Tamandua tetradactyla: one gene and its partner. The protein of the gene in region 1 interacts with the protein of each later gene in a pairwise test. Links are inferred from orthologs where the notes say so. Each region holds a gene or a part of one and is shown on either strand. Other genes may lie near its edges. The genes, in order: FAM114A1 and RAB2B.

What was found.
Region 2: the proteins of FAM114A1 (region 1) and RAB2B interact in binary tests that used the Homo sapiens proteins (3 or more experiments, as listed by UniProt). The two-hybrid records come from large-scale screens. The link is inferred for Tamandua tetradactyla from reciprocal best matches to the Homo sapiens genes FAM114A1 and RAB2B.

What each region holds. Positions count from the first base shown.
Region 1 is NC_135345.1:40,517,025-40,525,636, forward strand, and holds the start of FAM114A1 (protein NOXP20), read left to right. Parts: upstream 1-5,149; 5' UTR 5,150-5,231; intron 5,232-5,603; exon of another isoform or gene 5,604-5,867; intron 5,868-8,612. UniProt on the Homo sapiens protein: May play a role in neuronal cell development.
Region 2 is NC_135340.1:34,968,219-34,976,241, forward strand, and holds the start of RAB2B (ras-related protein Rab-2B), read left to right. Parts: upstream 1-4,775; 5' UTR 4,776-4,904; coding exon 4,905-4,950; intron 4,951-5,162; coding exon 5,163-5,234; intron 5,235-8,023. Other genes in the region: TOX4 (TOX high mobility group box family member 4), read right to left, coding at 4,183-4,251, 4,471-4,476. UniProt on the Homo sapiens protein: The small GTPases Rab are key regulators of intracellular membrane trafficking, from the formation of transport vesicles to their fusion with membranes. Rabs cycle between active GTP-bound and inactive GDP-bound states.

The DNA of each region.
Region 1 (8,612 bases):
AAACAGGTGCCCAGAAAAATTTGGCTTTCCCAGTAATCCAAGCTTACATTATTAGTAAACTTCTTTAGGGCTCCCACTAGCCTCCCTTGGAACAGAGCCAGGTTTTCCTTTTTCTCCTGAGTAATTTCCCTTAGTTTATTGTAATTAACTGGGTTGGAGGTACATTTTCTTATGCCTTTTAGCAATGAAGTTTTCTGTTTTTTTGTTTTTTGGGGGTGCATGGTCCAGGAATCAAATCTGGGTCTCCACATAAAAGGTGAGCATTCTACCACTGGAATCACCCATGCACCCACGAGCAAATTTTTAAAAGGGGATCATTAAAGAAGATTTTTTCCTCTAATGGAAATTGAGACATGGGGATAACACAAGCAACAAGTTCTTTTCAGCTCCTTGTCTTGATAGAGAGCCAGAGATAGGAAATTTCTGACTACTTTCTCTGTCTTTTATAGACTGAAGGATGCTGTGCTGGTTTGAAAGTGTTGTGACCCCAGAAAGCAATCTAATCAAAAGGTTACAGAAACAATTGGGCATGTTACATCTTCATGTAAACAAACTAAAATTTCCACCCCACAATATTGAATCAGGATTAAAGGACATGGCTTTTCTGGGGTTCAACTCAAAAAGGTTGCTCTCAATTTAAAAGCAATTTCCACTTACCATTCCCTCCCTCCCCTTCATGTTAAAATAATGTTCTCGTATTAGTCTAAATATATGTATATATAATTCATTATTAGCTTAAAATTTTTTTATTTGTAAAAAGAAATTTTAAAAAATACAGTTACTATGGCTAAGGATTTTAAGTGGAATTGGGAAGTTATTATGCAGGTCTCAGCCAGATATCACAAACTACCGCATTATGTAAAGCCTCAGGCAACAGTGTTCCTCAAAACCCTAAAGGCACCTTGACTCTTGAAGATGATTGTATAACTATACAGCTCTTACATTGTGACTGTGTGATTGTGAAAACCTTGTGGCTGATGTACCCTTTAAGGACAGATGAGTAAGAACATAAGGACAAAAAATAAATAAATAATGGGGGGATAAGAGATTTAAAAAAAGTTGGATAGATTGAAATACTAGCGGTTCATGAAAGGGAAGAGTAAGGGGTATTGGATGTATGAGTTTCTTCTGTATTTTTTTTTTTTTGGCACGGGCAGGTACTGGGAATCGAACCCAGGTCTCTGGCATGGCAGCCACTGATTGTATATTTTGGATAGACTGTGCACAAGGATATCTCAATAAAAATATATTTTTTAGAAAAACCCTAAGGGCATCCGGACATCATAAACAAACACAAGATAAAGAACTCAATAAATTATCTAACCTGAAGGACATCTGGAAGACTCTAAATTATCCACCAACCTAACAACTTATTTAATCTTCTTGTTTTTCTTTAAAAGCTCTTGCCTGGAAGTGCCAAAACAGGACATGATTTGGATTTCTACCTTAATCTGTGCTCTTCAAAATGCAATTTTTTTCTTGGTTACTTAGCCATAGGCATATTTAAATAAAATACTAATTGTAAAGCCTGTTTGTACAATGTTTCTAAACAAATTTAAAATTAAAGCAAGGAAGACATCTACAGATAAAGATATCAGAGTTCCTGAAATTCTAAATATTAAACACACTATCTTAAATACCAATTTATTAACTTTCAAACTGTGTACACTCTCATAATATCAAGCAGAAAGTTATTAAAATAGCAACTTTGCTACAGTAGTGACCTATGTAACTAAACATTTTCAAATTTTAGATTTCAGGAATTTATTTTATCTAATATTACTATAGCTGCCTATAGTTTTTTTAAACCATTTTTTGTTATAAAAAGCAAAGAAAGAAAAATACAATAATTTTCAAAGCACACTTCAATAAGCAGCTACAGAACAGGTCCCAGAGTCTGTCATGGGCCACCATGCCCTCAACTCAGATTTTTCCTTCTAGCTGCTCCAAAACACTGGAGGCTTTACTAGAGTCATAATAACAAAATTATACAGTATCTGTCCTTTTGTGTCTGACTTATTTCATTTAGCATTATGTCCTCAAGGTTCATCCACGTTGTCATAGGTTTCGGGACAACATTTTGTCTAAACGCTGCATAATATTCCATTGTATGTGTTTTAGTTTGCTAGTTGCTGGAATGCAATATACCAGAAACAGAACAGCTCTTAAAAGGGGGAATTTATTAAGTTGCAAGTTTACTGTTCTAAGGCCATGCAAGTCTATAAAAATGTCCAAATTAAGAAGCCAACAAGTGGTCATCTTCACTCAAAAAAGGCCAATGTTCAGGGTTTCTCTCTCAACTGGAAAGGCATGTGGCGAACACGGTGCATCGGTTAGCTTTCTCTCCAAGCTTCTAGTTTCATGAAGCTCCCTGGGGGCCATGTCCCTTCTTCATCTCCATAGGTCCCTTGCTGTGTGGGTTATGTGGCTCTTTTTGAAATGGTTCCCATCTAAAGAGCTCCAGTAAGCAACCCCACCTTGAAAGGATGGAGACACACCTCCATGGAAATCATTTAATCTAAAGTTTGCCCACTATTGGGTGGGTCATACCTCCATGAATAATTTAAAACTGCCACCCAGCAATACTGAGTGAGGACTAGAGGACATAGCTTTTCTGGGGTCCACAAATTCATACCGGCACAGTATGCATACACTATATTTGGTTTATCCACTCGTCTGTTGATGGGCACCTGTATGGTTTCCATCTCTTGGCAATTGTGAATAGAGCCACTATGAACATCAGTGTGCAAATCTCTGTTCATGTCACTGTCCTCAAGTCTTCTTGGTATATACCAAGTATTGGTATTGCCAGGTCATAGGGCAACTCAATATTTAGTTTTCTGAGGAAACACCAACTGACTTAAACAGCAGCTGAACTATTATACATTCCCACCAGCAATGCATAAGTATTTCAATTTCTCCACATCCTCTCCAACATTTATAGTTTCCTGTTTGTTCTATAACAGCCATTTTTATAGGTGTGAGGCGGTATCTCATTGCATCTCCCTTGTAGCCAATGAAGATGAGCAGCTCTTCGTATGCTTTTTAGCCATCTGTATTCGCTCTTCAGAAAAGTATCTATTCATATCCTCTGTCCATTTATTTATTGGGTTGTTTGTTCTTCTGTTGTTGAGCTGTATAATGCCTTTATGTACACAGGATATCAAGCCTTTATCTGATTTGTGGTTTCGAAATATTTTCTCCCATTGAGTTGGCTGCCTCTTCACCTTTTTAACAAAATTCTTTGAGGCACAGAAGCTCTTGATCTTAAGGAGTTCCCAACTGCCTATTTTTTCTCTCATTGCTTGTGCTTTAGGCATAGTTTAAGAAGCTACCTACTATTACTAGATCTTGAAGATTTTTCCTTACATTTTCTTCTAGAACTTTAATAATACTGACTCTTACATTCAGTTCTTTAATTCATTTTGAATTAATTTTTGTATAGGGTGTAAGGTAGGGGTCCTCTTTCATTCTTTTGTAAGACCCCAAATAAGCACCTTTGTCACCTGCAGGCTTGTTTATTTCTCTATTGACATATTCTATACCGAAATATAAAGAAGGAACTAGAAATGGCCTGTTGCCTTTCAATAGGGAGATGACTAAATAAATTGTGATACAAAACATATTATGACATACAATGCAAGCATTAGAAGGATATTTTTTATTGATATGTATTATTCAAGAAATATAATACATAATAAATCAGTAAAAACAATTAACAAAATACATCAATATCTTGTCATTTTTATAAACACCAAACAAAACAATTGTATACGTATAAATGTATATCAACTTAGAAAAACTGGTAGGAGCCACACACAATTAAAAATGAAAGTAATATTTACAGGGAAAGAGTAAAGCTATTACCATTAAAAATGCTTTTAAATTATTGCAATTGGCATGTATTACATTCATCTTTTTTTTTTAAAGAGGATGTGGGACAGGAGAAAAACAAATTCACCTTATACACATCACTCAGAAAGAACCACTATTTTTTCGTGTTTGTTTGATGTTTTGTATGCTGTGTGGCAGGGTCACATTTCATTCTTTTCCCATGTGAGTATCCCGTTATTGCAGCACCATTTGTTGAATTTTTTGTTTGTTTTGTTTTATGGGAAGTGCATGGATGGGCAATGCAACCCGGGTCTCCTGCACGGCAGGCGAGAATTCTACCACTGACGTACCCTCGCACCCCCCACCACTGTTTTCTGAAATTATATTTTTACTTACTTTTATATAAATATACACATACATATATATTAACCAAAAAACAGATACAAATTCTACATACACTTTTAGAAAGTGCTTCTTTTTTCCCATGGGCAGGCACAGGGAACCAAACCCAGGTCTCCAGCATGGCAGGTGAGAATTCTGCCACCGAGCCACCATCGCAACGCCCCCTACACTTTTATAATCCCCTCCTCCCCTCCACACATACACACTTAATGTTCGGCTACGGCCTTCCTCCCATATCCACAAATACAGATGTTCAATTATAATTTTTAGTGGCTGCAGCATATTAGACTGTTTTGAGTAGCTATAGTTTAGTTCCCCTTATTATGAGACATTTTGTTTTCCCTGTTAAAGACCACAATAACATAAGTATTCGCACATTTCGTCTGTATACTTAGGACAAATTCCCAGGTGTGGAATTCCTGGGCCAAAGCTAATGCATTTGAATTTTGCTCCACATTTCCAAACTGACCTTCTAGAAAGTTTGTTATTGAGTGTAATCAGATTACACTCCCACCGACGGAGGAAGGGAGAGGAACTGTTTCATGCAGAATCGGAAGATGACAAACTCTCGCTGAATTGGGCAACCCCTTCCCGGTGAGGCTGCCTCCGGGGTTTTCCCCGCGCTTAAAAGGATGGCAAGGGATCGGCGACCCCTGAGGCCCTCCAGGGATAAGGCGAGCGTCCCTCCGGCCCTCCCCGCAGGCGCAGTGCTGGGAACTGCAGTTTCCCAGGGAGGGTCGGGAAGCAGGACCCGAGACCAGACCAGCCTAGAGAGTTAGGATGCCCGAGCGACCCGGCCAGCGCTCCCTGGCTGGGGTGGGGCGCACGTCCAGAATCTGGCCCCCTCCAGCGCCAACCGGGCGCGGGGCGGGGCAGCTCGTCCCGCCCTCCTCTCCCCTCGCGGGCCCGCCCTCCGGCCGCGTCCCCGCCGGCCCTGCAGACGTGGCGGGGCGGGACCCGCCCGGCCCTCCCGCGCGCACTCGGCCGCCTGAGCGGTAAGAGCCCCGGGAAACTCTCTCTCCATCCCCTTCCCCGGGCGGGCGGGTGGAATGAGGGGCAGCCCGCTGCGGGGTGGTGGGGAGACCTGCCGTTGCTTCTGGTCGGTGATCCCCGAACCCAGGCCGCTGCGCTGTTAAAACGCCATCCGCAGGCGCGGGACCACGGGAGGATCGGGCTTGGGAGTGAAGGTCCGGGGAGGCGCGAGCGGCGCGGCCGAGGGCCCTGCGTGGGTGCGGGCGTGTGAGTGTGTGTGTGTGAGTGTGTGTCGCTCCGAGTCCACGCTCATGCACACACCCACACGCCCGCACGCCGGGTCTGCCCCCTCGGCCGGCGGCCGCCAGCATCAGAACCTCTGCGGTGGAGCTTACCTTTGCTTCCAAAAGTATCCAGTCGTGGCACCAAGCAAGTCTGAAAAAGTTTCCCCAGTATCCCAGGTTGAAGGTAGAAGCAGACAGCAGAGTCTCCGTAGCTCGCTCGGAGCACGGAGGTGGCTGGTCCCGGAAAGGCAAAGGCCTCCATCCCGGAGTGTGCCTGGCCTTGGCCGCGGGAAGCGAGGTCGGTCCTTGACCTTCCACCCTAGCTCACCACTCCGCCCCCTGCAGACCCACGCCCCGGCCTGCTCTTGCACCCCAGCTAACACCTTAGGCTGACACCACCTCTATTCACAGTCCTGGGTTTGGGTTCAAGTCCCCACCCCAACCCCAAGCCCCACCTCCACCCAATCATCTCGACTACCCTGGAATCTGGTGAGTATTTCTAGCTGCCCCAGATCCGGGTGCCTGGAGTGTACTGGCTTTTCCTAGAATAAAAAGACATCCCTTTGTATGGGCTATGAGGACATCATCTGTCCCCTATCATCCTGAGGTTCCCATCCTGTACTTCTTGAAGAGAGGCAAGCAGGTGGCTTTTAGACTAAATGTATAATGAACTTCGTAGGAAATCAGTCAACCTAGGTTACAGAGAATGAGACAGGCTTTATGCTCAGCAGCCTCTCTCCCTCTTTTCCCCCAGTGGCCCCATTCCTACCCCATCCACATGCCCATGGTCTCTCCTGTCTTTCTGCCATCAAACTCTGAGAATCTGATAAACTTCTTACTTTGTAAGCTTGATGCAAAAAGAATAAAACTTTAATGGTGGAATTTGAAGCGCAGTGCAGAAGTGATTTGACAGTAATAGGGAGACTTCTAAACCACCAGGATTGAGACCATGTAAGTAGCCATTTATTTATGAGACTGGACCTATGGCAAACATTGTTTCTCTTGAATCAGTATCAAACACAATGTATTTCATTCAGGAAATATTTGAGGGTCAGATTCTAGGCTAGGTGTGGATTGGGTCACAACCCTGGAGGAAAGACAGATGTAAAAACAAGTACTTCTTGTAAATGTAGCAGGAGAAGTCTGTGCAGACAACCCATAGAAGAGGGAGCAATTAATTATTTGGAAGGAGCAGGGCAGATTAAGGGAAATGTCAGAGGAAAAGGTGACGTCAGACTTTTAGAGATGATTAAGAATTTGCCAGGCACTTGGAAGCAGGGTAGCCCAGGCAGAGGAGACTGCCTAAGCAGTGAAAAGGAGGTGTGAAGGCCTACAAGCAGGGTAGAAAATGAAGAAAAGTCTGGTGAGACAAAAGTGTAGGGTGTGTTGCGAGTGGCAGGGGGTAGACAGAGAGGTCAGGGCTGGATTATGAGGGACCACGGAGGCCGTGGGGAGATATTTGGAACTAATGGCTTTTAAACAGGGAAGCAATAGAGCCCACCTATGTTTCAGAAAAAAAGAGGCTGGACTGGAGGAAAAGTCTGAGACCTGGGACTGTGTACTTATTAAGCATCCTAGGAACTCTTACAACCTGAATTTAAAACCTGCCATCTAGAGTTCTTATCCCTGTCCTTCACAGACTAGCCTTCTTTTTAGTTGGGGGAGAGGGTCTTAAATAGGACATTGCATTACCAAATTTTTATTTTGCCAAGTAAGGCCATTAAAAAAAAAAATCCATCCACTGCCATCACCATTTCATAAAAGAAAAGACATTCTCATACCAAGAAAAGCGTGAAGGCCAGACTTTACATGAAGGCAGTCCTTTACATTTAATAAATTTAGACTTATGGAAAATAATGCTATCTTTTGTCTTCATTTTGCTCTCTCACCCTGGACCAGCCCCTTCCTGTGGGCTGGCATTCGGGAACCATGTCTCCAGATCATTTTGTCCAATATCCTTGCTTTACAGAGGAAATAGTGGGAAGCCCAGCTATGAATGAGATCCATGCTCACGAAGGGGTGGAGGGAAGAGAGACCACAGTTCTTGACCCCCAGGGCAGGGTTCTCCCCACCTCAGCATATTGTCCCTCCCGCCCCACAGAATTTCTCTGTGTTCTCTTGGCCCAGCCACACTGATGTCCGTCCTAACTATCTAGAATACATTCCAAACGCTGGGAATTTGCACATGCTCTTCTTCTACCCTACCTGGAAATAACCATATCAAAGCCACATCAAGGTCCTCCCTTGCATAAGGTCTGTCGAATTCAGGCACAATTTTCCCTATTTTGATGTGCTGTTTTGCATCCTTATTTAACTATTATTTAGCTCCTCAAGCAGAGTCATCAATTTTTGAAGCATAGTGACCATGTCTTCTGTTTAAACTTGTTTTGGGAGCTGTGATGCTGCTGCTTCAATACTTCACATAGTTCTGGAAGCAATTTAGGTGATGAATGAATTTACTCATGAAAGCTATTCCTAGCCCCACAAAGGCTTCTTTATGCTCCATCCTTCCTTTCCTTGGAGTTTACTGAAGAAGCCTCCTTGTTTCTGTGGATTGAGTCTCCCTTGCATCAAAGCCATGGGACATGGCTGTAATGATCAGTGTTCTAAACCGAAAATCAGGAGAGGTTTATGAGACGTCAGACTGTGCTTATGGGGCACTTAGGCAGAGATGGGGATGGTCCCAGGAAACACAGAGCGTGACAGGGCTGACGTCCTGGTAGGCTTTTTAGTCCTTGCTCAGAAACAGCTGTGTATTTAGGACACATGTTCTCTAATGGCTTGCGACAAAAGTGCACAGTCTTAAAAATAATTACGTTTCTCTAGTCATAATAATGCCCAGAGTAGATAAGAGACCAACCGGAACAAACAAAAAGATTTTTTTTTCTTTCGGTTTTAATTTAGGAAAAAAGGTAGACCTATTACAGGTAGAAGTACGTATAATACTAGAGATACATATCATTAAAAGTTGAAACAGAGCTGATATTATGGCAAACATTTCCCTTATGTAAACAGATTTACAAATCTAATCTTTCTGAAACTTAAGACTTTTCTGTAAATATTTCTTTAGCCTTCTTACAGCTGATTTTTGGGGCATTTCTGAAGGTTTCTTGTTGCTGG
Region 2 (8,023 bases), on another chromosome or scaffold:
GATGAGAAAGACTAAAACTCCCCCCAAACTCCACATTTCGCAATACAACTCATAATTTTTGTTACTGCACAGAAGCTCTTAACTTCAGATCCATGAATCTTTCATGAATTTGAGTTTAGGTTCATGTGAGCATTTATCAGGAAAGCAGGTACAAAGATTTTTACCAGATTCTCAAGCAAGTAAACAAATAAAAAGTTATGGGAACAGCAAAAAAAGGATTTGGGGAAACATTTATTGACTAGGCTAATAACTGTGAACAGCAGTTTTGAATTTTTTTAGACTGCTTTGGTGAAGCAAAAGATGCCTATCTTTTTCTGCTTACCATAACAAATAAAAAACCAAATCTGCTGATATATGAAAAGTGATACTATTTGTTAATAAGAGCTCAATAAAGAATTAAAATTCACGTCCAAAACAAGAGATTACTGTGCTACAAGAGACCACCCCTCATAAACCATCTGGTGTGCTCTCGAGGACATTAAAAAATCAGACTTACAGAGATTCTATTGTCTCAGACCAAAAGGGTATTCTCCCTATGCATTACCCCAAGATGTGGAAAGAGGTTTGTTATTCAGTATGTATAGTTTAATGACAATTTTTGTTTTGAAAATTTGGTTTTAAGTATGAATAGCAAAATAACTACAATGATCAAGAATAAAAATAAATCATGCTATAATAAAAGCATGCTATAATAAAAACGGTCAGTCAGTTTCTTTCACCACCACAAATGATTTGTAAGTTTAGGGTAAAATCCAATAATGACAAAACTTATTTTAGTTTTGTGGATCTATTACCACAGATGTGACAACATCACACTCTAGACTGTTAAAAACAAAACAAACCTAAGTTGTAGCAAATATTAAAGTAAAAATGAACGGTGTGGATACAGAAACAGAAAACAAGAATATGATGCAGATACTTGCTCACTCAGTTTCCCTTTCCTTCTCTATTAAAGGCCTTCTCAGGGCCTTTTTGAGAGAGGGAACAAGATGGGAATTACAGTTTATAAGCAAGAATACTTAGATATTGAGAGAACCAGAAAGTTTTAAAGTACCATATCCATTCTTTTACTCATTCTGCAATACCACAATACACGATCCAGTATTTCTTTAAAGAGTTTTCTTGTATAGGTTATTCATTGCAAGGAAATGCATTTTAATCCAACACCTACTTATTGAGTTGTTCACTGATACTACGGTCATTAAAATGACCTTAAGAAATGAAATATTTATAGTAATGAAACTTCTATACCGACGAAATCATGAACATGATCTAGAGCTATAAGTACTTTCCCAATCAAGGATAGGTATCTTGATGTCTTATTTTCCCAAAGTGGTCAAAGCCTGGTATCATTATGTAAGAGCCAACTTGAATGAGAGAAATACAAAGATTAAATTCCCTTCCAATCATAGAGCTTCCCATCACAAGAAATGCTGTTATAAATACTAAGCCTTCATCTCTGGAGACCTACTATTTTGAAATTATTATTCCTTATTTCATTGAGGTACAACATATGTAAAGCACACAAATTTTAAGTGTATAGCCCAAATCATTACCAACTAGATAAAAAATACAGGATATTTTCATCACTGTAATTCCTCATGTCCCTTTCCAGTCAATACTCTGCTTCACAAGAAGTACCACTCTTCTGATTTCTACCACAATGGTTTAGCTGTGCTTATTCTTAAACCTCATTAAAAAATGAACTCATATAGTGTTCATATAGCTTCTGTGTGGTTTCTTTCATGCAACAATATATTTTTTAGATCATCCAAGTTATTGCATTAATTAGCAGTTTGCTCTTTTTTATTGCTGTGCAGTTATTGCTTTTTATAAATGTACTAGTTTATCTATTTTTCTGCTGATAGATATTTGGGTTGTTTCTGGTGTTTAGCTATTATGAATAGAGTTGCTGTGAACATTCCTATACATGTTTTTGGTGAATATATGTGCATATATTCTTTTGCATATAAACCAACGAGTGCTATTCCTGAGTCACAGGGTAGGCATATTTTTATCCTAAAGAGATACTGTCAGTTTTCCAAAGTGGTTAAACCAATCCACACTCTGAACAACTATGACTGAATTATCCATACTCTTGACAACTCTTAGTTTGTCAATCCTTTCATTTTAACTAACTTGGTAGGAATACAAGGGCATGTAACTATGATTTTAATTTGTATTTTCCAGATGAGTGATGATGGCACTTTTTTCATATGCATATGACTATTTGGATATCCTTTTTTGTGAGGTTCCTGTTTTCAAATCTTGCCCATTTTTAATTAGATTATTTATTTTGCTCTGCAGGAGTACCTGATACATTCAGAATATGAGTCAGATAAATGTACTGTAAATATCTCCCAATCTGTATACTGCCAGTTTACTTTCTTAATGATATCTTTTGATGAAAAGATGTTCCCAATTTCAATGAAGTCCAACTTTCCAATGTTTCCTTTTACACTTAATACTTTTTGTGGACAGCTACCCTTTACGTGTACGAAAATTTAAAAATTACTCTACTTCTAAATAATTAAAAAAAATATTACCTTTACCTACAAAAAACACAAGCGAATCAAAATAAAAGTTAAAAACAAAAAAGAGGGGAAGGAAAGAGGTAGAAGTTGTAATGAGAAAAGGGAAAACAGTTAACAATTCTGTATACCATAGGAAGCTACAGAAGTTGACCCTAAAACTTACTTTTAAAAGGAGCTTCTTGGCAAAACAGGTTTTGTTATTAAAAAAACAACAACAACAACAACAAAAAAAACAAACCCACACACAATAAACAGATTCAAACTCGGAGTTTCTTGACATTGTAAAAAGGAGCCACCTCTCATGTAGTTTATAGATTACTTGACTTCATTTAAGAGGCAAAAGATTAAGAATGGTGGGTAAATAGAAAGCATTCATATTTAGTTTTTGAAATGCACTTTTGCATGGACGTGACCAATGTGAAATTTACAAATACTCCAAATAATGAAATTTATACTGTACAGAACTGATTCTGGGAAAAACTGGTACTGAAAGAGACTGCAAAGCACCAAACAGATCCTTAGCTTTATATCACTTCTAAATTTGGTGTATCTTTGATTCATACTTTCCTCTGCTTAGGAGAAGTATAATAAATGACAACAGCAATAAAGAAGTTAAAAAACTAGCAATGGTCCCTTGTCAATCTAATTCTCATCCAGGAGAATTTTAGGATTTATTATAGGATAAGTCCACACAAAAAAGCAACTGAGAATTCTTGGTACCAAAACAAATGCCTTGTACTGCTTTTGAAAAAAAAATTTTAAATCCTCAAAAGACAGTAGATGGCTTTCGACTTCACACTCACAGGGAAGTAGAAATTTATTTTTAACTGTTTCATATTTCTCTTTTGCCTGGCCTAGGCAAGTAATACATATCCATGTTACGACAATATTTAAACCAAAACTTTTCCACAAATACTAAAGGACCTCACCATAACCATTACTTCTACTTCACAACATCATAAGCAACTATTAATACAACCATTTGATAGATGGGAAAACTGTGACATAACAAAGGCGAAGTAATCTGCTCAATCTCTGAGTCACCCACAAGCAGAAACACATGTTCTACTTAACTCCATTCATGTCCTTTGGTACCTCTTTCCTTTCCTCCGGTCATCAGCAAAACATGGTGACGCCATCTACATAAACATAATTACTAATTTTGCTGTTGCTGTTGTTACTGAATAGGAAGTTTAAATGAAAGAAAGGCCCCTTCAACAGAGTTCGTTTCAAGGATGAACATATGTCCACATTTAATCCATTAGGTAAGTTCATATCCTCATTTCAGCTTCTTTAACAAAAACATTTTCTTCCTGCTGTTATCCCTCAAGACGGTTGTAGCTATTTCCTCCCTACGAAAGGAGACTATTCCACTGTCTTCCAACTCAGTATCAATCTCCTCCTCAAACAGATCATCGCTTTCCAACGTCCTATTTTTCTGATGACAGCAGCTTCCGGGACCCTCCCCAGATAGTCCTCAGAGGTTCGAGAAACAGCTACCACTTTTCCCTAAACACCAAACGCGGACCCTGATTCCCAGCCCCGGGTCCCCCGCGTCAGCGCTCTCCCGCCCCCACCCTACCACCACCGCTGCCTCCGGCCCTCCCCTCACCCCCCACCCCCCGCAGCGTCATCAGCTCGTGCTCACCTCGGCCCCTGACAGGAAGGGGTGCGAGGGCCCTGTGATCGTCAGGTAATTGTCATTTCCTCCGGGAAACTGGAAACCAAAAGAAAGCCGCGGGGATAAGTTAGGGGGCGGGTAGGGAGTCAGCTGGGAGCGACGGATTCTGACCCCGACCTTCTGACAACACTCCCCAAACCCTGCTGTCTCTCTCCTCCCGGGTCAGCCGCCTCTCCTCCCGGCTTCCCTCCTCTGCTTTATTCAAACCCGTGGGCCACGTTCTCTCGTCAGCCTTCTCAGCGTTCCAGTTCCTACCTCCATCTTCACACAACCGCTACCACCGTCTCAGTCCCCTCATCGCTCCTACCGCCCCCACCAGACTCGGAACTTCCGTCACTTCCGTAATGAAGAACATCATTCTCCACTGATTGGAAGGTGAACAGCAGGGCCGCAGCGAGTCAGGCCCGCAAGGCCGAGGGTAGGTATCGCCCCCTGGAGCTTGGTAGGATAATAGCACTTAGAGGAGCTAAACGCGTCCCTGGAGGCGGCGCCGGGGTATAACCACCGTCCCAAACCGAGAGAGGATTTCTGGGAAGAGCAATAGAGATGTGATCAAGGCTAGAGGGGCGAGAGTTGGGGGGGGGGGGGGGTGCGGAAAATAAGGAGATCGGTAGATTGAGCCGTTAGAGAGGCCGTAGGTAAGTTGCTATAGAAATCGGGCGGACCCGGAATCCAGAGGAATTGGGACCATGACTTATGCTTATCTCTTCAAGTACATTATCATCGGGGACACAGGTAAACCGCGGGTTGACCGCTTTTGAGGCTGGGGCGTGGTTCCTAAATTCCCAAATCGGGTCGCGAAGGCGGGGCTCATTTAATAGTTCGGGTAACTCCAAGAGCTGGCGGGGGCGGGGCGAAGCGGGCGGGACTCGGGGCTCCCCCTCCCGGGTTCTCAAAGCCCACACAGGGACTGCGTGATTGCGATAACGCGCTTCGTCCTCTTTCAGGTGTGGGCAAATCATGTCTCCTTTTGCAATTTACCGACAAGCGGTTCCAGCCTGTCCACGACCTCACAATCGGTAAGTGCATTTACCTGTCCGAGAACAGCTCAAGTGAAAAGTTAGCAGCCTTCAATGCTCAAAGTAAAAATACTTCCTATTTTATGATAGAACAAAGTTATAGTTAATGAATTAAAACAAGCACTGATAAATGAGGAGTGTAATGGGGTAGAAATAATTGGACGTTAACTTGACCGATGAATGTGAGATACGGGATTGGTTGCCTCAGGATTTTTTTTTAAAACTCAATTTGTATGTTTATGGAAAATCCCACGAAAGCATAACTGCTGATTCAAGAGCTCATCTGCTTGGCGGTACATTATTACTAACCTCACATATGTTTCTCAAAGTAATCACCATTATATGGATTTTTTTGTATGTTGGAGAGGAAGAAGCATAAAAAAGGCAGATTAAACTGATAACTTTCCTTTTAAAGGAAAGAGTATGATAGAATTCCAAAAACAAACTGGTGGAAACCTACGACCTCCAGATGGGTCCCTAGACCAGATGAGTCCTAAAATGTGGAGGGGCCAGCCTCTCCAGAGCATGAACTAGCCCTAACCATATTATTGACAGCCCTTTCCAACATGAAAAAGTTAAAATGGGCATAACCCAAATACCCCTAAAGAGTGGGAGAAAGAACAAAGGTGATGGTGGAGTTATACAAAGAAGGTAGAGTTTAACATATGCCTATGATTGCTGAATCATTATATTGATATTACTTTTAGTCTCCAATGTCTTGGAGCAGCTAGTAGTAAAAACCTAAAATTGTGAAATTGGAACTCATGCCAAACTCTGAAATCTGTTTTACAACTAATTGTTGTGATGTACTTTGAAATTTATTCCTTTTTTGTATATATGTTAGTTTTCACAAAAAAAGAAAAAAATAGTCGATTGTGATGATAAATGCACAGCTTTATGATGATATTGTGAACCATTGATTGTACACTTTGGATGATTACACAGTATGTGAATATATAATATGTACCAATAAAAACAAAACAAAACAAAACCTGGTGATCTTCGAAAGTATAAACATCCCACACTCATTTGTTGCAAGGCATGGCTTAGAGGAGTTTTAGCATCCCACTTCCCGTACTCTCCATAATCCCATCCCTGATTAAAACAAAGCAAAACAAAACACTTAAACTTCTTGCTGTAAAAATGCAGTCTCTACATAAAAGTCCTAGCTTCCCATTTTCACCATATAGCCACTTCTAAATCCTACCAGTATAGAAATCTTTCCCAAAGGATTATTCAAAGCCAAATAACTGAGGGTTAGAAAAGTGTTTACCAGATAGAAGCAACAGGTTTTTTTTTTTTCCTTAATGAATTTTAGCTGAATACTGATGTGTCATATACTAAGGATACATGCTTAGCAAGGTAACATCATGTCTGCCCTTCAGTAGCTTATAGCCTTCCTTGCAAGAATGGAGATGGGAATTGGGGCAGATACTGGTAAGCAAATTCCCCTTACAAAAGGGGAAGCCAAGGTTGCCGCCTCTGTCAACAAATGCTGAAACTTGAAGAATGAGCAGAAGTTAGCCAGGCAGAGGGATTATGGATATAATAATTTTTTTTTTAAGAAAAGTGACTAGGTTAGAGAATGTTCAGAAGTTCAGGGATGGCAGAGATCAGGCTACTTGTGAAAGCTTGAGTACTTCAATATGACTGGAGCATGGAGTTTGAAATGGAGAGTGGTGAGAAATAAAACTAGAAAAAAAAATTAGATCCCAAATTTTCGAACTCTTGAAGCAGTAGAGAACAAGTGACAGGTTTTAAAGTATAGTAGTAAAATGATCAATCACGTTTTCCCAGAGTCCAATAAAGGCTGTGTTTCTTGTTGAGTTCAGTCCTCTCTACCAAGACAAACAAGGCAGTAGAATAGAAAACATATACCACGGACATTTGCACACCAATGTTTATAGCAGCGTTATTTACAATTGCAAAGAGATGGAAACAGCCAAAATGTCCATCAACAGACGAGTGGCTAAACAAACTGTGGTATATACATACGATGGAATATTATGCAGCTTTAAGACAGGATAAACTTATGAAGCATGTAATAACATGGATGGACCTAGAGAACATTATGCTGAGTGAGTCTAGCCAAAAACTAAAGGACAAATACTGTATGGTCCCACTGATGTGAACCGACATTCGAGAATAAACTTGGAATATGTCATTGGTAACAGAGTCCAGCAGGAGTTAGAAACAGGGTAAGATAATGGGTAATTGGAGCTGAAGGGATACAGACTGTGCAACAGGACTAGATACAAAAACTCAAAAATGGACAGCACAATAATACCTAATTGTAAAGTAATCATGTTAAAACACTGAATGAAGCTGCATCTGAGCTATAGGTTTTTTTTTTTGTTGTTGTTGTTTTGTTTTTTGTTTGTTTTTGTCTGTCTGGTTGTTTTTGTTTTTGTTTTTTACTATTATTATTACTTTTATTTTTTTCTCTATATTAACATTCTATATCTTTTTCTGTTGTGTTGCTAGTTCTTCTAAACCGATGCAAATGTACTAAGAAACGATGATCATGCATCTATGTGATGATGTTAAGAATTACTGATTGCATATGTAGAATGGTATGATTTCTAAAAAAAAAAAAAAGAGTCAGGTGCCTAGGATGTAATGGAGAGGCTGGAGGGAAGTGCCTGAAAATGCAGAGCTGTGTTCCAGTAGCCATGTTTCTTGAGGATGATTGTATAATGGTACAGCTGTCACAGTGTTACTGTGTGATTGTGAAAACCTTGTGTCTGATGCTTCTTTTATCTGCCTTGTCAACAGATGAGTAGAACATA